Linked DNA regions of Styela clava. The protein of the gene in region 1 interacts with the protein of each later gene in a pairwise test. Links are inferred from orthologs where the notes say so. Each region holds a gene or a part of one and is shown on either strand. Other genes may lie near its edges. The genes, in order: vacuolar protein sorting-associated protein 33B-like and spermatogenesis-defective protein 39 homolog.

Region 1 (11,181 bases):
GATTAGTGGGAAATTTCTATGTAGTATAGATCCATACCCTGTCTGTACAACACATCGCCTAACTTGGCCCGACCATGTGCCACGATTGTATTACAACGTGTCACCTACGTAGGCCCGTCCATATGTCACGATTGTGTTACAACGTATCGCCAACGTTGGACCGGCCATATTTCACGATTGTGTTACAACGTATCGCCCACGTTGGCCCGACCATTTGCCACGGTTGCATTACAGCGAAAGGACCGACGTTGGCCCAGCGGCCAAATCTTCGCTGGAACATGGTTGTTCGCCATTATTGGGCCGGTGGTTCGAACAACGTTCGGCCATGGTTGTTCCGACGTAGTTGTGCTATCTGGGTGCTCGCTATTTAAAATTTCAACTTCCGATCTGGGTAAAAATGTGATTCGTCAGCCACCCGTTCGCTGTTTAGCTTTCCTAAAAAAATATGTGCGGCCCGCCAAGATTTGAAACCCTTAATTTTAGCCCGCATGCGAAAAAATGTTGCTGACCTCTGATGTACATATATTTGGACATTCTTCTCATGTTTTCAAGAAGTACTGAAACTATTATCACGTGATTTCAAAATTCATCCTGATCAACTTGACTGACTGCCACTGTGACGTCAGAAACGTAACTATTGTCAAAGAATCCAATAGGTAGTATGCCAGAACAAAAATATGAATAAACCAAGAAAACTAGTTTATGTTGAAAGAATAAAATTACTAATATATTTCAAAACATCAACTTTGATTATCCTTATTCTACGCACGGAGTAAGCTTTTTTTTTTTGAATGTAGCCTTTTTTTAAATATTTTTTACCTTTGTCATTTGGAACCAAGTTGAATTATCTGGTAACATATAAGGAGGTAACTTCTCAGGCATAGTTACGAATGTAACGTTCTGATTGGACGAAATAATATTTCCATTGTTCTGAGTTTCCCTGGTAACAGAAGATCAGATTTCCGTTATAAATTTGATTTCTGCTGTTTGCTAAACTGCACTTCAAATTGTGAGAAATCGTTAAAAAGATTAACCAGCTTCCGATATCCACCAACAGGTAAAATGAATCTAATTAAATATAACGTTAGGCTTATGAAAAATATAAATACCTAGATCAATTTGCATAGAGGTGGTTTTGTAACGATGTATATCGTATTGCAACGTTGAACCACTGAAAACATGTCAGAAATATGGAAATATACATTGATAAACTCGATACAAGACGAAGTTTTATTAAATATATATTCGCAAATATTATAACAGAAACAGACATGAAATCTACCCACAAAAGTATCATCCATTTCTGGAAACTTTTGTGATAGAACTGCTGACGCAAGATCGAACGCGAACGCAATGCTTGTGCCAAAAGTTCTGTGTGTCAGGTCCAAAATAACTTTTGGACACAATTGGCACATTTTCGTTTTTTATTATGTATTTTTTTTATCTCCGTTTGGTACTAAATACAATTGAACATTCACGTTTCAAGGTTGTTTTTAGACGCCAATTGCTTGAATAAAATTCACTCGTTGGAATACAAATCGAAAAACTTGCAGACAAATCTGTAAGTATGAATGAGGAAACTGTTGAAAGATCCTCAAATATGTCAGCTACTGATGAAGAGTTTGATAATAAGGATGAACTCTGTCCCCGCGTTGGCATACATCTTCAGAAAAGTACAAATGAATCGGCATGTAAATACGATGGTATGTATACACTTGACTTGGGGTCATTGTATTTATATAAATAAGCTATGTGCTGATTTTTATTTTATCCAAATATAGATGTTAGACACAAAATTGACTACTTGGTCTGCAGTTTTATTTCTTGCCAAGAATCAGTTTAATGTTGCGTTGATAATTCATATTCTGTTTGAAAAATAATATATATTTTCAATGAATAGATTATTAATATAAGATGAATTTTTTTCACAAATTCTGTTAATGTTGTATGCACAATTCAGACGTATGATTTTTTCAATTCTTCAAAAATATCATATTTGAAACATTTGTAACGGAGCAAAGAATTTCCAAATATATAACTTCACAATTGCACATTTCAGAAACCGATAGAAAGCTTTCTTGGAATAGCCGACCAATTGAAAAAGAGAGTATGTTGTCAGCGGTCGTCAAAAATACACCTCGTGTGGAACGAGATGGTGGAGATGCAAGTACTGGATGTAAAATAAAATCCGAAGTTAAATTCATGTCAAACGCTTGCGAAGACAAGGTAATTATTTTATTTCAATTCACTACGACTGCAATATGCATGAAAATAGTAACCCAATGGTATCAAATTATTAACATTTATTGTGTTTATTTTAGCGTTTGAAAGTACAACAAAAATTTGTTAATCTGGAGACCAAAAACAACACTGGTCAATCTGCGGATCAGACTGTAATGGTAAGTTTGAGAGGTCGAATATAGAACAAAAAAAAAGAAATCTGCTAAGAGCAAAATGATAAAAATATATTTGTTATATTCAGGAAAGTAATGATCGTTCCAGCACAAACACGTCTCGACGCCAGCTGGAAGATGCTTTGATGGCACTTAACATCACACGAGCTCATGCAGATAAAATGCGCAATCGGTTGCATTCATGTTCATCCACCTTGAAGGAACAAACCGATGATCTTCGTATCTCATCACGTGCTTTATCGTCAGCTTTAGATAAAGTGGAGGAATACAAGAAAAAGTGGCAAGAGGAAATCTCTCTGAAAGAGGGCGTTTTGAGAAGAATAAAAAACCAAGAGAGTAGAGCAAGATTCTTGCAAAATCTAGAGACTGATTTGAAGCTTTTTCAACGTGGATATGAGAAGCTTGGTGAACTTTTCGAATGTAAACTGTCTTTACAAAATATTAATGAAAGCTCAACGTTCATGTGGAACAAAGTTAAAAATCTGCTCAATTTTGTCGATCACGTGCAAGTTGCAGCTTCACTTGCCGCTACTGCTCATGAACTACAACTGAAGGAACGTACTGAAGCATTTGAACGTGAGAAATGTGTCTGGCAAAATCTTTTAAAAAACAAAGATGAAGTTTGTGAAGCCAGGATGATCCGACTAAGATATGAGAACAACAAGTTGAAAGAAGAATTGAATGCAGCGCATGAAACAGTAGAACAGACAAGAGATTTACATCGACGAGAGAAAGATGAAAGTGAAGAGATATTTAAGAATGATGCTTATAAAATAGGAATGCTTGGGTGCATTAGCAAACAAAACTATACCTTGTTGTCTCAATCGCATTCATCAATGAAAGTGTTATTGGAGAAAAATACTAAAATCTGTCAATCAATGGAAAAAGAAAATGCTGATCTGCGGGTCGACATGAAGAGAATTGAATCTCTTCTCATTCAGATGACAAATGAGTTCAAACCAGGAAACATTCAGAAACAAGACAAATCAATCGAGTGTAACGTTCCTATCATGCAATATGATGAAATAAAAAAACAAAAACATGATTTGATGAAGGAAAATGAGAATATGAAGCAATCTTTGACTAATGTCAGGAAAGAGTTTGTTAGAAAAAACAATACATATAACCGAATGTATTCCAACTTCCAACGTCTGAAATCGGCGTATCATCAACAAGAATTGACTTTTCAACATCTACAAGCTGACAATTCAGCGTTGCGCAAATCCATTGAAAGAAAAGATCAAGGCGCCTCGGATACCAATAGAGAACTGTCTCCACGGCAGACCGTTGATAATGAGAATCCGGTTTGTAAACGTCAACCATTGACTGTACCTTGTGATAAAATTGTAGGAGAATCTGCCACAACTAATCTCGACAAAAGAGATGGTACTCTGGAAAAACTGGAATTGTCGTCAATAAAAAATTGTCTGTTAAAGAAAGGAAGTCGTAGCATCACTGACATTTCCGAAGAAAAGACAAAACCGGTGGAAAATTTTGCGACATCTACACCGGTGAAAAGAACCTTAAAACAAAACCTGAAACCTCGCACGGTTCCCGCAATATGTCCTTCCATCGATTCTGACCGATCTGAAACTTCAGCAAGACGTGGGCGTTCAGAGAGCGCAGTTGAGCAGACAATAAATGAAACCAGATATACCGATGATAAACGTCCCACTGGAAAGAAAGACAAAAATAGCAGATCCGTTTTTAATCGAAAAACTGTGCAATCGTGTGACGAAGACATTCATGTAACGGGATCTAATATTATAAAGGATTATGATTTGAATAGAAAGCCAGGAAATTTTGGCATGATTCGCTCTCCTATATTGGATAGACCAAAAAATCGTCTTGTAGGCATTCCCATGTCTGAACAAGAATTTCAGAGACTAGTCGGATCGATGAACGAAGATAATTCCACCTTGAAGGACGATGGATATCATACTTTATCTGATACGGATCATGAAATGAAGTCAGCTCATGCCTCAATGTCAAATACGCGTATTAATTCAAATTCCTTTAGTCTAATATCCTCTGCACCTGAGTTGAAAGATAAAACTTCAGGACGGATCAATCGTACTCATAAAATACCACACAAAAATATCAGCGATCAGTACTTGGTGACGTATAGAGGAGTTACATTTGATGTAGCATCGTTTAATATAACGCAAATGCGTCACATTTCATGGAACGAAGGATTTTCTGATTCTCAGGAAGAAATGCACAAGTTTATTGACTTTTTAGCTGAAGTAGCTCTAGAATTGGACCATGATCCAGACTGGTGCAAAAGACATTCACTTGGAAAGTCGTCAGATTGGTTAGAACTGAAACACTTGCTATGAAAACATTTACTCTAATGTCATGTGAACATCGCTAATTCTATGCAATGATGCTTCCCATTTAACGTATATTTTATTTGGCCGTTTTTTTTTATCTTCATTCGGCTTTTTTATTTTTTCTATTTATTTTTATTGAACTGTTTATTAGACCATGATTTTAATAAAGTAACATGCCAATTTGGTGAATATTTGTTTGCCAGTGTCATATTTTTTATGATTATTTTTATCAATTTCATGAATATTAGTTATACAGAGAAATTTTCATCTTCCCGGTAGTATTTTTAATAAAAGGTTGTTGATGAGTGATAATAGATTTTTTCTTGTATTTCTATCTCTTCAATTTACTTGCTCAATGAAAGTTAAGAATGATTTAAAGTGTCAGGAATTAGAGTAAGTAAAAATAATATGAGGTAAACACGATTTTTTGTAAACTTATCTTGGGATCTAATTACGCTCTCAAAGTTTTATATTATGTATCGCCGTGATCGGATATCGGTCCACATAAAAATTAAGAATTAACCGTAGGCGGTTGCAAAGACTTCTGTACTTTTGTATTACGGGACCGTAAGCGCTTCAAACATGCGAACATGTCTGACATATACAGTGTTTCCCCGAAAATGAGACCGGTAACAATAAAAAATTTTCGTCGTATCTCCCTTAATAATTTCAGTATCGGTACACTACTAGGCAGATTATTAATTTCTGGGTTTCGGGTAGACATTTACGACTTTGTTTGATTCTTGTAAGCCACAACATGGATAATTTTTCCAAAAGAAAAGGTAACGATCAAGTAAAAAAAAAAAAAGGAAAACTCGAAGAGTTGTAGTAAGAAAGTATGACTCTGATTACAGGATTAATCAAGTTCATTGACAGATTGATGAAGGAAACGAGATAGCGATCGAAGACCGCCGACTTATCGATCTAGCGGTGTGTATTCTCCGCTCTGACTCGATAGCGACACCGCGTGTCCCATCACTAATTAATTAATAACTCGCTAATTATACGACATCGAATTATCATTCATCCAAAATCAACAGGCTTTTGGTCAGAGATATGATGAATGCACATGCAAAATTTGGAGCAGATTCACACTCGCTTTCGTGAGATATCGCGTAACATACGAAAGTGTCTAACAACAAACAGACAGACATATACCTATCAAAGTACTTACCGATCGATATCGATAGGTAAAAAAAGCACAGTGTTGAGTTCCATTGCTGCATTGCGGACTCGCATTGCGAGTAAGCTTATCTTCTATAAAGCTTCGACTTATTTTGATAATACTGGAATACTGTAATATGTAAGCTCAATTTTGGCAATAATAGTAAATTGCGTGTGGATAGATTGTCTCTTTTCTCATATATTACGGCACAGCATTAACATTTCATTGTCTGATTGTGGGCATAAAACTGTACCGGTACCACATAAACATTGATGCCCTCTTTCACCATTTCAGTCTTGTATACAGTTCATATGCTACCGTATCTCAATTGATTCCAGTCTGCCAGTCGTTAATTTCTGAATTTGATTTCATTTACCATATCTGCATTTTGCAGTATTGCTGTATTGACTTGACTGCTTTAACTTTAAGTTTCCGAGACCGGGTTGCCTATGGCAGTATGGGCCATGGCTATGGGAGTATGGCGGTGGCTCAATATATTTCAGTATTTGGGCCTGGCCCAATACTGCAATAAGGCAATAGATTGAGGTTATTTATTTTGATTTCCAAAAGAACAGAAAGAATGTCAGAATGCGTGTGTGACCTTGCTTAAAGATTCAATTAATTAATATTCGAAACTTGGTTATATCAACAGCACAGGTACGGTAGTCTGATAATATAATAAGATATCATAAAACATCCTGGTTTTCTAGTATTGGAGGAATGTGAATCTATAATTTCATGTGATTTGTGATCCAGTAATTCATGTAATTCAATATTAAAGGAAAGACTGAAAGATGTCGTCTATGCAACCGAAAATTCCTGATATGAGCGTGTTGAAGGATTATGCTCAAGAACAGCTCACAGTCTTGCTTGAAAACTTCTATGGAAAAAAGGACTTGGTCATAGATCCAGATCTTATGACACCTCTTGATCGGCTGACTGGCTTAACTTTTCTAAAGCAACGAGGAGTAGATAAAATATTCAAATTGGAGCATAAGGAAATACTTGGAGGATGTGATCAACGAGTTTATATTGTACGTCCCGAAATAAACAATATGAAGCATATTGCTGCACATGTACTATCGGACAAACGATCAGGTGAAAATTTCTTTATTATTACCTGTTATGACAATATAAGTTCAGATTCCCGTGAAACCTGACAGACAATAGCTGCAGATCCACATCATGACATAGTGATTCATGAAAGCACCTACTACTGTACTGATTTGCACATCAAAATTTTCAAATTATTATTAAACATCAAATTATTATTTAATTTTCTTTGATATTTTTCAGAAAAACTTCGAAAATATAGAGTTTTGATGGTTCCAAGACGTTTGTCTATTTGTGAAATGGTGCTAGAACAAGAAGGTGTTATAGGATTTTTAACAATAGAAGATCTACATATTGATTTAATCCCTGTAGATGTTGATATTGTGTCACTGGAATTACCTCAACTCTTAAACTCATTTTTTATGGTAATTTATTTAAAACTAAAGAAGTTATTGAGCCTATATGAATAAATCCCACTCGAAAGGGCACTCAATTCATTGGCGGCCCTATGTAAGGGCATACACCAATTAGGGATGGAGATTAACACAAAACTAATCAAGCTCCTACCATTCTTTCATTTTATTTCACTTATGATGCATATGAAAGTATCGTTTATTTTTTATTGCATAGTTCCATGCAATTTGTTCTCTGATCATATGGGATTCGGTTTAAAGCAACTATTAACCTACACAATGCAAATTAGCTTATGTCACATTTCAAGGTTTTAAGAAAATCATATTTTTGTAATAATTTAGTTCTAACAGGCAGACCTAAATATGGAGAGGAGGCACCCCCTAATTCGAAACTAAGAGCTAAAAGATGGCTACCAGTTTTCTATTTTGTAATTCAGGATGGAGATCAGACATGGTTGCACACAGTTGCACGATCTATTGTAAACTTGCAAGCGATTTTTGGTTCTATTCCAAACATTTATGGTCAAGGAAATTCTGCTTCGATGGTTGATGATCTTGTTAAAACACTGACAGTTGAATTGGAAGAAAAACGAACTTCATTGGAGACCAATATTGGACATCTTGTATTGATAGATAGAGATGTCGACTATGTTACACCACTTTGTTCACAGGTACATACATTTGTTGAAAGAATGTGGTTGAAGCAGATGTTTTCTTTATGATCTTGTCTAAAATTGCCTAAATTTTAGGTCTTCACCAACATGCTTACTAGATATATTCAGCTTACTAGATATGTAGGTCTCTTCAATTATCGATATGCTGAAGTTGTAACATGATCACAATCAACCTCTTGAAATTAAAAATGTATGAATGCAAAAAATTACCCCCCTGGAAAACATTTGAAGATTGATTCTTAATTAAGTGATGAAAGCAACATGCCAACATTTGCATGCTGATGACCACTGGATATGTTCAATAAACCTGAAAGTGAAATGCCACAGTGCTGCCATATACTTTGCAATGTAATGTTCATGTCAATTTATTGTGTAGGTCACATATGAAGGCTTATTGGATGACATATTTGAAATCAAATGTGGAGTGATAGAATTTGGAGAAGAGGTGACTGGGTCAGAGAAGAGTGTTAAAACTGTGTTAAATTCTAGTGATGAGATTTTTCAAGAAATAAGAGATAGGTAATATGTAGTTTAAAATACAAAATAACTCACAAAATATTTTATACTCAGCTATAAATCTGACGTATTTCATAATATTATTTCTTTTCAGACATTTCACTAATGTGTTTCAATTTTTGAGTGTGAAAGCAAAAGAGGTTCAAGCTGGATATGACAAGAGACATGACATGAAAGAATTGAGCAATTTGAAGGTACTTTTTGTTTTATATTTTGTTTTGATCCATTATTCATGAAAGAGTGACTCTTCATCATGACACATATGGTAAGATGGAGAGGCATTATTATTTAGCAATTTTACGAAGGTCCAACTGAAAAACTTGACGTTTTTGGCATTCAAGAGTATTCATATCCATGCATCTATTGTTTTTATTGTTATTGATGGTGTGTTTCTGTTGCGCCAACTTCCTCAAACTCATCTTTATAAGCATTCCTGGGTCATCCTTACCCATTTAACATGTAAATATATTTATTATGGGGATTTTTCCATAACTAAATTTTGTCAATTTTCTAACTCCATGCAGAAATTTGTCCAAGAAGATCTGAAGGGATTAAAGCAGGTGCATAGATCAATAACATTACACATAGGTGCTAGTGAGGTGATTCTGAAAAGCAAAACGAAAGGTTCGCTCAAGAAAGGGGATCTACAAGATGTTCTTAGGATTGAGCATCGTAAGTGATAAATACTTTGAAGTGCATATTTTAGCGACTCTCATCTTATTTCGCTTATTTTGAATATTTCCTATGTCATGTATTGAGCTGGTGATAGCATAATCATAATGTATGGACTCCTGTGTCAATGTGAAGTAAATTTATATCTTTGCCATCAAATTGTTTATACCCATACTATCAAAATATCAAGTTTTCGCTTCACTGCAGTGTGTCTACTGTAAGTGTATTGTATGGGTGATTCTATCTATATCAAAGATACATAATCAGGACCAAAAATACAGTATTTTGATGCTTCTCAATAAATTTTGGGCCATGAAACAGACCTTAATATTATAGAGATGAAAATTTTTTCTTTATTTTTCTATTCTCTTAATATGAGTTTGTCATTAATTTTATTTATGGTATATTTTTGATATCGGTGTCGAACCACACCATGGTATTGGGTATAGAAAATAAATTCTTGGTATTGGGTATAGAAAATAAATTCTGTATTGATCAAATATAGACCTAATCAGGATTATCTGGCTAATCTCCATCTGGGTACAATACATCATCAGTGCAATAGAAAATGTTAATGATTCTCAATAATTCTAGTTTTTAACAATCAAGTTGTATAATAGATTAAGTTAACCAATTGTACCTGTATTTTATGATTTCAGACCTACTAGAAGGAGTTGAGTCAAGAGAGTGCATGTCTTATGTGGAGGAATGCATTCATCGACAGTATGACATATTGTTAACATTAAGGTTGATTTGCTTACTCTCATGCACATCTAGTGGTTTATTACCTAAGGATCTACAAAACATTCGACACCAATTTCTCCAGAGTTATGGCTATGAATATATGTTGACTTTATTTAATTTGAAGAAGGTAAGAAGCTTTTCAAATTTGTGTTAAAATCTAATTGATTCTTGTATGACTTAAATGTATTCACTGCATTCTAGTAAAAGAAATTCAGATTACAAAGGAATTGTTTAGCTATGTGGCATTTAACACGACTTTATTATGTAGACATAGTGCCAATCACATTGAGAAAAGCCTGATATGAGTTTTAAAGTATCAGTGAGAACAAGAAAATTTACCTATTAGCGTTTCTTGCCTACTTGTCATCCCACCAAATTTTGGTTTTACAGGCAGGCTTGTTAACAGAGGCACAAAAAGAAGGGCAGTCAACAACTTCCATTGAAGCAAACCTCAATAAATATGCTGAAAAGGCAGTGATGGGTCCTGCTGTATCATACGTTGCTAGCTCATTAGCTTCTCTACAGAAGCGAGACTGGTTTAGAACCGTCAGTAAGAAGTTAAGTCTCATTCCAAAAAATACTGCGGGACAATATAACCTGAAAAATCCAGAAGATATGGCCTATGTTTTTGGTGGTGCGTACGTTCCATTGACATGCAGGTGAGTGGTGGTTTCTGTGACGGAGATGGATAACGATAAGGACAAAATATATTTGATTTAAGCAGGTGTATATTTGGGATATTGACATGTTGGCAGTTTTCATATAAAACAAGTGAAGTAAATAATATTTGATAATAATAGATTAATATTTGAGTTTTTAGTAATTTTGTTAAGCTTTGATTTTAAAAATACAGCAAATATTTGACAAATTGCATTTGAACAGTTACATTATCTAATCCAAATTACTGAATTGATTGTTGGACCTGTTCTTTGAGCTGTTGTATCAAAATCTCCACCTTCTAATATCAGTATAACATGATTTGAGCCAGGGGTGCACAACTCAAATGAGCATACATGCCAAAATTGTCAGAATAATCTTTTCTTGTGCCATGTCACGTTTGAAATTTTTAAATAATTGTTGGTATTGTAAACATAATAATGAATACCTATTTACTGAAATATTTTAATGTCATGAAAAACTGCTGTTTTGATGATATTTGTGATGGGCCAAATTTGAAATGTTGGGATTCAGAGGAGA
Region 2 (12,040 bases), on another chromosome or scaffold:
TTCTGCCTAATAGATGGTATGTATTCCCAATAAGCATTACAGTATGCTCATTCGTTCACTCAATGAGTGATTTTAATTACGGTTAAAATAATATAATATAAATAAGTTCATATTCCATTTTGCATCCATGATTCAGTATTTATTTTGTTCAATTCCAGTAGTAATCCATACCATAATTAGGTTATTTTAATAAACGCATTGATATAAAACAATAAAAATGAAATTAGTAAATATAAAATACATATCATAAACATATAATTTTCTTTTTGAAATAACGCTTCACATAAATTTTTCAATTCCCTCTCAAATGGGTTGTTTATTCTATAATTCTCTATATTTTTCTACATATTCCATGCTTCAAGTCCATGTTTCCGAAAACAAACAATATAACTAATCCCATACCCGACTTGGAATGGTAACCGGACGAGAGACCGTGGTTCTTCTCTGAGAGACCTTATCCTAATAAATACATAAATAACCGCACTCCACTGGGCGACTGGTTCATATTCTGTACTGTAGCTACGTTTTCTGTCTAATAGATATGCATTCCCAATAAGCATATGCCCATAGTTGTATGCTTTCAGCGTACCATACTTCGAAACCCAAAACCAAATATGTATTGAAGAATTAAAGACCTCAATACGGCCAATTTCGCACCCGACTCGGCTGAAGCAAGGGATCTTGGCAGCGAGCAATGCGTTTTCTTAATATGCAACGAACCATTTAGCCGGACGACGTAAAAAATGCAGGGAACAATACCAAAATGAGCAAATCTTTGCAAGTTTCCACTCATTGTATATATGCTCATTGGTTCGAAGTAACACAGGAAAAAACACAAAAAGCTATATACATTGGAACTATTTACCAAAACAATATCCAAACACTGTCAATATTGGCAGGCAACATGGAGGTGTAAAACCATTTATTAAAACAGTAAAAGCAATCTCAGTTACACACTCACACAAAGAAATTCCATGAGCAAAAGTGAAACATTGATGTTACAGTAGAAAATTCAAATTATGCTGGTGTTCTAGGTGGTACATAACCACTTATTGGCAGCAGAAGAGGAAAAAATAGATATTGCCAAAATAATATCCACAGAGTAAGGTTGCAGGAGCTCATAAAAATCGAAATGTCTTTTGGTTGATTTCCTCATTGTAAATAAAATCCGACGTTGTGATGTGCTGTACACTAGGTGCAATGTTTCATATAAAATGCCTGTCTGTCCATCTCTTTTTCCTTAGTTCTTTGCGAAGCAAGTATGTAAAATTGGAATCTTGGGTAACCCGTACAGCAATGCCAAAGTAGTCTTTATTATCCGAATCCTATTATTTCGTTGTTCATCATTTAGAATGTTGATTGTTTCTAATTGTTGTATTCCATTTGTTTCCACTAACCAAGTTGTTATCTTCGGCGCTATTACTTTTTGTTTAGTTTTCAATTCTAGTATTTCACCTGTTTACCCTTCCATGCTTCTAGCTGTGACTTGAGACATGTATTGTAGCCTACTAAACCCAATTATATATTTGGGGTTCCTTTAATTACCGGAACGGACCCTAAATTACCGGAACGGGGTGGAAAACATACATAAACCTTCCGGAACGGACCTTTAGATGTCTTGCATATGTCATTTCATATACTTCCATGCAATTTTTATAATAAATCGGCAAACTTGGGAGGGGAGGAGGGGGGTCAGTGGTAAAAATAATTTTCTTTAATTACCGGAACGAATTAAATTGCCGGAACGCAGTGAAAAACCTACCTAAACTTACCGGAACGGACTTGTATAAATCTTGCAAAGGATATTTTATGTTCTTCTAAGCGATTTCTCAAATATAATTAGAAAATTTGGGGGGATAAATGGTAGAAAATACCAATTTCATTTTGCGCCGCCTAGTGGATGTAAATTGAGCAATCAATTCCTGTATCATCTCTTATCAATATGAATTAATGATAAAAATCGATAATCAAAACCTTCTTATATGTTATTAGCCTTTAATTTTCCTTGTAGATAAGATAACGTAGTCATAGATTCAGATTGAAACAAATAAAAATTGTTTCCACAAACATTCTTGTGCAGGTGTTGTGACTATGTAGCACAACATAAATATCCACCTAAGCCTGTCATTAAAATGAAAATGTTGTTATTTTAGTTCGCGTTCCTGTCAGCCGTAAAAAGTGCCGTTCCGGCACTGTAATCTACCTTGATATATTGCATATTGCTTCGTGTCCATATATTTGAGCATCGTCCTCTTGTTTATCTACATACATACAAATCTGATCCTCTAAAATGACTCCTTCAAAATTTACTAATATGTTAAAAACTGTTTTCACAAACATTTTTGTGCAGACATTGTAACTATGTAGCTAAACATTTTATATTGGAACTGGTTGAAGTACGTGAACATATTTGACAAAATACTTGAATTTAAAATTTCAGCATAGGAAAATGCGAGAGGTGACCACGAGTTGAAAACGATTGTCGCTATAGCCTTTATAGCGAGGACGGTTCAGAGTGCTCCTGCTGATTTCTCTACTGATAACACAGCTTCGAGCCCCGTTATCTTATCTACAAGGAAAATTAAAGGCTGATAACATGCAAGAAGGTTTTGATTGTCGATTTTTACCACTGTCCCCCCAAGTTTGCCGATTTATTATAAAAATTGCATGGAAGTATATGAAATGACATATGCAAGACATCTAAAGGTCCGTTCCGGTAGGTTTATGTATGTTTCCCACCCCGTTCCGGTAATTTAGGGTCCGTTCCGGTAATTAGAGGAACCGATACCGGTGTATTTGCACATACCAGATTTTGCGGAGTCTTTTTTCATCTTTTTTTAAATCCCAATTACTCCTCAGCACGTAGCAAACGGCAGCAAAGCAGAAGTGATGATGTAAATTTAAACTACGCCAAATTCATATTACCAAAGATTGATTAAGATACAAATGTATACGTCCTACCTCCAAGCGGCTCACGCCGAAAGAAGAAACGTAGCAATTTTAGAGGAGGCGTTCATTCACAGTTATAGTCTAGTAGGGACATAGCGGGAATCGACAGTCTCATAATGATGTATCGACATAACTATTCTCGTAGAGACGAAGTCATTTCATTGTGGATATAACCATTATAGTAGACTGTATTGACATACCGGCACCGTAAGCGTAACGGACATCGCTATTTTAGTAATGTAGTAGGAACATGGCGGTAGCCGGTAGGGTAGCAAATTTTCAAGGTTCTAGTCTGGACTACAGTCATTGGATTAGGTAACGTAGGGCGTAAGGTTAAGTTGTTGCAATGTAGGCCTACGTACACAAAATTACAATACATATTTTCAGATTTTATATTGAAACAAATATCAGAATATTGCAGAACATAATCAATAATTTGGATAAGCGAACACGTACCGTACTACTACAGTACTACTTTTATCAATACCTTCCCACCTAAAATCTGTACACTTTAAAACTTACTTGAGGTTTCGTTTGCTTTCTCGATTCTATAATCAGTTTTATTTATTACTTATCTATATTTAGATAGAGTCATGAATCGAAACCGCAGTTTCGATCGATAAGTCTTCAGTCTCCGACCGACATTCTCGTTATGTTTTTATCAAATATTTTATCGTCTATTGCTGATTATGGAGTCGAAATAAACTTACTTACTTACTAATTAATTATCTTTGAAACGAACTGGACACATCATCTACTATAGGGTCTATTACACAGCTTTATTGCAGTACTGTGTACCGGTATTTGTCCAACACTTACAGGTACACCCTTATGGAAAACTAAACTCCTATTTCAAATGTTTAAATTTATTCAGGTGTGGTAGCTTATCATCAGTATGGAACTTGCTACCAGTAACAATAAGACAAATGTTTTATCTGTTGCAAGCAATGTAGACTTGCGGGATAGGATCGTTGGCGATTATGTATTGGACTGGTCAAAAGATAATTGCATTGCAGTTGCTACGAGTAAAAATGTAATGCTATATGATCTGAATCCATTATATGACGTGAACAGCTCGGAAATGTGTTTCAAAATCCAAGCCATCTCGCCGATTGAATCGCTTGATTACGACGCTGGAGCTCGGAAAATGATGTATGATTATGACATGTTGTGTGCTGTACCGTCCAAAAATTCTGCTTACCCTGACTTCGAAATTTATCGAATGCATATGGATCTTAGCATAAATAGATCTCATGGATCAGAAGAAGTTGGAGACATGGGATTCCGAGCGGTTCAGTTTTCACCACTAGGGTGTGCAGTAGGTAGCGGAACTGTTCTTGCCACTTTGACAATGGGGCATCAGCTTCAATTGTTTTCAAAATCTTCTGATGGTATATTTGTACAATGGAACAACATTAGAAATCTAACTGAAATATTAGTCAAAATTCTGCTTAAAAATGAACAATATTACCCTAAAATTAAATTCCCAACACAAAAATTAAAATCCCAGAATATAGTCGAGAAACAATATGCACCTTGTATTGTTTGCATGGAATGGTGGGATAAAACATACATAAAAAGTTCCAATGAAAAATTTATATTTCTTGCCACTGGTACGAAAAATAACTTTGTAATAATTTGGAAGTTGCATCTGCCGATTAGTTCAACTTCAGTTGTGACTATTGTGAGTTACATTAAAACAAATTTAAAAGGGATTAAAAGTATTAGCTGGTTGAAAATTGGATCGAATGAAGAAGAAATTCTCAAACTAGCAATTGGGGGAATTGAAGGCGTGGTCAATTGTTTAGAGATTGACTTAGATGGAAATTTGTTGAAAGAGAATGAAGTTTGGAACGACAGAGACCAGCTCACGGTTTCTGCTATTGATTGGAGAGAAACTGATGAAGGTGATGACACTGGTTTGCTTGTGGCAAAAGGACCTTTGCTTTTATATATGAAAATATCTTCTGATCTTGCGTTGATATCACATTCAGTTTTAATTGGGTTACACATTCTTCCAGTTGTGAATATACAATTTGTAGACCAACCCGCTTCGTGGCTTACAATCAGTAGAGATGGTCGTCAAGCTAAAGTTGTTTTGAAAAAATCTACCGAGGAGAATCTAAGACTACAGTATGAGGTTTTATCGGAGCAGACTAATCAATCTTCTATGGTTTTTCACGAAACAACGCATTATCATATTTTATCACCTAACGGAGCTTTTGTTGCGAATTTACGATCAAAACCCAAAGTATCATTATCTATACTTGTTGAAAATTCAGCGTATTTGGAAATTTTAACTCTTAAAAGCGGAATGGAATGTTTTCAATCATTGTGCGCTCAAGTAGAACAAAATAATGCAGAGGAAAAAATGAAACTAGATTTGGTTGAGTCCATTCGACTTCATCTTATTAACAAAAGTGTGTTTAAGAATGAGTCAGACTCTGTATTACTGAGAACTTGCCTAGAACGGTTTCTTGATTTCGATGATGCGGAAAGCAATAAGTTACGCTTGACATGGATTCTGTTGAAAATTTATTCTGCTGTTTTTTCGGAAGGGGGACAAGATTACTCAAAAAAAATTCTGCAGAATGAAAAAATATTATCAAGCAGGCAAATGATGAAAGTTATAAAACACTGGTTCATAAATTCAAACAATGAAAAAACTGAAACTCATCAAATTCCTATAAAAACTATCATAAATTGGTTGTGGAAAAACAAAAATATTTTAAACGAAGATGATTTTAGTTTTGTAGAAAAGGTACGAACCTCAAAAAATTATGAGCTTGTTAAAAAGGAAACGTGTCCGATAACAAGAGAATTTTTAACCATGTCTGAGGACGCTAAATCTGCCATAACAGAGTCTAAATCAATGACTTGGTTTCGATGTTGCTTGACATTTTGTGCTCTTCATTGTTTCAAAGCAAGAAAGTGTGAAATCAGTAATTCAAGGGCATTGAATTTAAATGATTCAGGGAATGCGGAAGAATGTGCGATCAATGGCCTGTTACAAGATTGTTCAATATACAGTGGTCTTCCTATGATTTAATTGTTTCTTATTTTAATATGCTTCAAAATAAATTCTCTTGACCTTTGACCCATCAGTATGCTTTAATGGGAAATTCCTTAGGATGCTTAGAAACTACCTTGATCTTTGACTCCAAATAGGATAGGATTTTTGTATTCATTTATAATTTACATGCAATCTTGAAAATCTGGGCCAACCTATTGCCTGAGCGATGGTCAAAATTTCATTTATAATTGCATCACAGTGTACTTGTTTATGGTTAGTCATTGAAAAGGAAATAAACAAGGAAGTTATCAATGCTCTGTGAAACATCCTGCTTAATAACACATCATGGCAGGCGTGAATGTTAATAATGTGGAGATGATTATGTTTAAGAGATTGTTGGAACTGTTTTGGGTACACCTGTAGTGTGTGTGCCAGGTTAGGCCAACGTTTTATCCTGATTGCCTTATTTTAATTCTATTGCAAGTTCGGGGACGGCTTCTGTTACCATGTCAATAGGTGTCAGTCCCTTTACACAACCTGATGTAAAGTAGGCGAACAAAATTAGTTACCTCCATATTTGTACACATGCTTCTAGAGCGCTGTTGTGTATAAGGCGCATATACATGTCTTTTGCTCTGAACAAGGTCATATACAAAGGATCCACTGCTATCTAACCATATGAAATCTCTTAGGATTGGCGTTTTCTTATACTATGTGCATTTTATTGTCTTTTTATGACGATATTATTTAAATCATGTTCCACTTATTTTCCCCATTTTTACTTCACTGCCAACACCCTTTTTTTAGCGTAAATTGTATTTATTTACATGAAAATGGTGATATAGAATAGAGAAATCAGAATTGGATTTTTCATGTTTGTTGTTTGGCATTAATAAAGGAATATACAAAAGCAGGAAAAAATGTCAGCAAGAAAAGCGACCAAGGTGACTCAATTCAATACGTTTTCGATAAACTTGATGGGTATGTCAATAAATGGGTTTGAAACTGACATGGGCTAATTACAGCCCGAGGGCCGAATCCGGCCCGTTTGGTAATTCAATATGGCCCGTCGGGTGCTGCCACAACTAAACAAAAACCAAATTTTGATGTTTTAGCTAAAAAATAGCTTAACAAATTTGTTGTGATTGCAATCAAAATTGGTATGAGACTTATTGTTTCTTTGCTTTTGTAACAATTGTTGTTCATGAAATGTAACTTTTTACGTCACACTTACATGGCCCGTCAGTCTAGGTGGGCAAAATTTTTGGCCCCTGATCCAAAAATCTTGCCCATCCCTGGTTTGGAATCATCTGTTGAATTTTTGTAGCATGTGTTCTAGTGACATCTTATGAGGGTTTTTCTTGGTGATTCCGAGCAGAGCCTAATATAAATCTCATCACTTTATTTAATTATACTTTCAAATTCTTCTTCTTTTATGTAGCCGTCCAATGCCAGTCAGGAAGATTCAGAAGACTACTGGAATAAATCTGCACTCACAAAATTTAATTTCGACGATGAAGAAGATGAAGACACAATAGAAGTTACTAATTGGGATGGATCTTCTGCTAATCCTGACAGGTGAGTGTTGCAATGACGTGATCGAATGGAATATTAACTACATTGTAGTCTAGATGTTGTTTTTCTTTAAATATCAGACCAATGGTGAATGGTTTTATATTTTAGTAGGTAAAAGAAGTGTGCCCTCGTTTTTTGTGTTGCAAAAATTGCTTTCTTTTTTCACAAACTTCTTTGATTGAAAATTATTTTTTAGGATTTTGGTGTATCTAGTACAGGGTATTTTCCTGCCTATCAGTAGTTTGTGAAGTAAATGAAAAACACTCTATATGTAAAATATTATGAATTTTCCTTAGAATTCAGATAAGACAAACATAAGCTTGAAACATAATTTATGTAGGTCTACCTATGCACGAGGAAATGAAGTTTGTTTTTGAAATTCTGACTAATAATTTACAAATCTTAGTGAGTTTTTTCAAATATCAAAAGATGCTTATTTCAGCTTTTTGCATCCAAAACAATATGTAAAGAGCTACTCTTTTGAAAAGACAAATATTTTTCGGGTTTGGCATTGCCTAATAACCAATTAATCACACTCTGGGGTTGATGTGGTTGCCTTGAATTAGAATCCAAGTTCTTCACCAAATATCCAGCAATCTGACCACAAGACCATTTCATTCTATTTAAATAAAATACATAAAATTTCTAAGAAATCTTTATCTGTATTCAAGTCTTTACTTTATATGATTTTCAGACCTCATTCTCAAACATCACAGAAGACCAAGGCATCAACTATTGCAACGGCGGTTTCAGCTCGTGCTTTTCGAGGAAAGACTGGCTCAGCTTCTCAGGTGATGACAGATTCTATTTATTTTTTTTGTTTTTCAATTTGTTGTTTATAAAAAGTTGGGGGCTTCCGAAGTATGTGAACCAAGATGGCGGACATCGGAATGTAATATGTGTACTAGGTTAGGGTTAGGCCATAATTTTAGCTATAAATACTAAGGGAGGCTCTTGGCTAGTCTTCGGACTGATAATAGGACTAAAATAAGGAAAATTGGAAAAAAATTATCGCCTAACCCTAACCTGTTACCCATGTTACGTTCCGATGTCCGCCATCTTGGTTCGCATACTTCGAGAGCACCAAAAGTTGGGAGGCAACCTTCAAGTTCGAAAAGGCATCCCGGAAAAATTTGACTACATCTTCAGAAGCATCTTACTTTGTTCTTGCAGTGTTTGCTAGAAGTCCCAAAATACAGTGTCATGTCCAGTTACAGGTAATCCTGCAGACAAGTTTAATAAATCCATTGCCCAAGTTCGAATACTTTGGCGCTAAAATTGCCAAAAATCAAATCTAATAAAAAACTTCTTATGGCAGTGTAGTGGAATAATTAAAATATGATTCTTACCACATTCAATAAAATCAGGGTTAATGAATGATATTCCACTTGTCCCACTTTCGACCTCTTGATTAGACTAAATTGAAGTTCGTATATCAATTCTTCCATCATGTAAAACTATTCTTTTTTTACAGTCTGTAAAATTCTCTGCTCGGGGAGGAGCATCTATGAGTAATAGTGTTGTGTCGCCACTGGAATCAAGTAAAAATGAAAGTGAGTTTTATGTGAAATAGCTGACCTGTAGTGGCTCATTGTTTCATTCCCAATTTTTGATCATTTCGAAAAATTGCTCCACACTGTGAATTCGCAGTAGGGCTGTCCAAACTCGAATATTTTTTTGATTCGAATCGAACCGAATATTTTTCTCGAATCGAACCGAATAAAAGAATATTATTGCGCAATCCTTAATTGTCTCTAATCTAATGTACAAAAAAAAACTTCCTCTTCAATATTGTGTTAACTTATGTGCAGTTATATCTAAATTATTGCAAACATTTTGCATAACTATGTTTCCAGAGTTATAAAAGGAGAACACAATCCTCCTTGAACTGGTCAAAAAAATAGGGTTTTGAAAACTATCAAGTTTTGAGAGTTGAAAATTGCACAGACTCTTTTAATGCTCGTAGTTGCTATTTTAGTCCTATTATCATTAGTATTATTAACTCAATATTTTTAGTGTAATTTTCAGTAAAATGATAAAAACAATTATTAATATAGATATAACTGTTGTCCAAAAAATTCAAAATTGCATTTCGGGAACTCACAAATTCAGAGCTAGTTTGATGACATTAATATTTGATGACCATATTGTTGCTGTACAACAGCCATCAACTCACAAAATTGCAATTATTTGTCATAGTAATAAATTTTATTGGAAAAAGATATTGGACCTCCAAAACTTGATTCAGTCCTGTACCATGTTCCTATGATTACTGACACAACAGCTACAAATCGATTCTATTTATAGAACTGGCGTTTTTTGGCTGACACAAAATTTGCCTTTTTCTCCTTGTGTTCTCTCAAAAAACGTCATCTTTAAATCATTGTTACCAATAACTTTTCATTTATGACCATGCATGGAATGGATAATTACATGTCACCGGGCAATAGGAGAGACCTTTTTACAGCAAAGAAAGCGATAGAAACATGTTTTTGCTTGCCGGTCGTGCAAAGGTGGTCGTGAGGCGCATTATGTACCAAATTTTAGCGATTTCTAAATCGGTCCAAAAACGCTTCGAAATAATTTGCGATTCCATTCGATTTCGAATATTTGGTTCGCTTGGACAGCCCTAATTCTCAGTCAACCGAAATTGGAGAGCGATGTCCAGAAATGGCCAGAACCAAATATTTCACTAATTTGAACACATTCTGAAAGGTCATTGTTTTCTCTGTGTTGTTTATTATTAGTTGAGATATCATACATTTTGATCTGCTTGTCTGATGGCTCTGAATCCCTCTCAATTTCCAAATAAAAATATTCTAAATTATTCCAAACTCAAAATTTTTAATAAATTTGGAGCATATCGATTTGTTTCGGACATCACTGGTGAGGTCCCAAGAAACCGTGTTAATACTAATGTTGTAGGTATATTAGTGTTACCTCCTTGTTTTCTTATATTTTCAAATCTTCAATTTATAATTCCCAGCACCTCAAGGAGTATCAACAACTGTGTTAGCAAAACTAGAAACAGAAAGAAATACTTTGAGAAAACAATTAACCCAAGCAAAACGTGAAAGAGCAACAGCGCCCTCTAAACAAGAAACTTTGAAAAGATTCATGGTAAGATATTTTCACTTGGATTGAATCAAAACAGCAAAATATTGGGTGAATTATTGGGCCCCAAAGGATGCAGAGGGAATTAAAAAAAAAAAAAATGAAGGAATAGCCTTCTATAAGTATTGAGAATTTGAAATAGGTTGTTCCATTTTTTGTAAGGGAAAGCGATTGTCTCGCAACAATTTAGCAAAATCTAAAAGTACACTTCATGTCCAATAATCAAAAGGTTGATAAAATATTGAATTATGCAATTTTTTCAACTTCAAACTTGTGATTCATGCGTTTGAGTGTGGTCATATATAAAGGCGTATTAAATGAAGAAAAAAGGTACTACCGTAGTATGTGAACCAAGATGGTGGACACCGGTTCGTAGTATGTATACCTGGTTAGGGTACGCGATAATTTCAGGTACAAATACCACAGGAGTCACTTGGCTAGTCCCCAAACTCGTTGTAGAACTAAAATCCGGTGTCCGCCATCTTGGTTCACATACTTTGGGAGTACCAGATAAAATACCTAAAAAATAAAACAGATTAAAATGAAACAAACCTGGTTAGGATATATTGAGAATTGACTTTATAACAAAATAGAAATTGTAAATGGACTTTGAAAATGCTCGATACGATTATCAAAATTAGCTTAAAATCTAAAATTATCTAATTTTTCATGATCATTTTTTCTTCCAGCTCGGTGAATCAGTTGTGAAAGAACTGTATCGTTCAGTTGAAGACAAGACAGCATTATTAGATGCTGCAATAAGAAGACATGATGGAAATGCGATTCTTTCTATAACATTATTCATGAGAAATACTTTAAAACGAGGTCAGTAGAAGTCTTCATTGTTCATGATGACTCTTGTCAAAAGACTGAGTTTGGAAATTAATTTTTGCTTTTGAATTGATTTAGGACAATGAACTAATTTTGATATATAATAATAATTCTTCTCAGGATATCCTTTTGAAACATGAATTGGTAAACCTTATGTGGGGAAATACTCTGTAATCTGTATAACTCCTATATGAGCTTTACCCCAATACGATATTTCGCAAATTAAGTTGTTTATAAAATTAAGTTGTATATAATGGGTACTGATAGGATCGCATTTTCAAATCTTCAAAGTTTTTTAAAACTAATGCGTAAAGAGCTAACATATTTGGAAAGACTAGAATCTTTCTGGATCAATACCATGTTACAACCAACTTTGGATCCCCACTGCCTCCCTTCCCCAGTAAAATTATGTTCTTGACTTTTTCGCATATTTCTTGCGATGTATCTGTTATTATTTTACTGGTTGGAAAAAATAAACTTCACTATGACTATGACTATTGCAAACCTATGGCAGTTTTAGCAAAGTCAGTGAGGCTACGGCAATCAACAGCCTTTGTC

Evidence for each region.
Region 2: the proteins of vacuolar protein sorting-associated protein 33B-like (region 1) and spermatogenesis-defective protein 39 homolog interact in binary tests that used the Homo sapiens proteins (3 or more experiments, as listed by UniProt). The link is inferred for Styela clava from reciprocal best matches to the Homo sapiens genes VPS33B and VIPAS39.

Annotation. Positions count from the first base shown.
Region 1 is NC_135251.1:15,321,405-15,332,585, reverse strand, and holds the start of vacuolar protein sorting-associated protein 33B-like, read left to right. Parts: upstream 1-6,553; 5' UTR 6,554-6,706; coding exon 6,707-7,010; intron 7,011-7,208; coding exon 7,209-7,390; intron 7,391-7,815; coding exon 7,816-8,049; intron 8,050-8,428; coding exon 8,429-8,571; intron 8,572-8,662; coding exon 8,663-8,762; intron 8,763-9,092; coding exon 9,093-9,240; intron 9,241-9,899; coding exon 9,900-10,111; intron 10,112-10,374; coding exon 10,375-10,643; intron 10,644-11,181. Other genes in the region: uncharacterized protein LOC120336189, read left to right, coding at 1,568-1,703, 2,060-2,226, 2,322-2,399, 2,483-4,753. UniProt on the Homo sapiens protein: May play a role in vesicle-mediated protein trafficking to lysosomal compartments and in membrane docking/fusion reactions of late endosomes/lysosomes.
Region 2 is NC_135250.1:4,100,825-4,112,864, reverse strand, and holds the start of spermatogenesis-defective protein 39 homolog, read left to right. Parts: upstream 1-6,764; 5' UTR 6,765-6,882; coding exon 6,883-6,906; intron 6,907-7,403; coding exon 7,404-7,540; intron 7,541-8,231; coding exon 8,232-8,328; intron 8,329-9,011; coding exon 9,012-9,090; intron 9,091-10,523; coding exon 10,524-10,657; intron 10,658-11,340; coding exon 11,341-11,476; intron 11,477-12,040. Other genes in the region: general transcription factor 3C polypeptide 4-like, read left to right, coding at 3,845-5,998.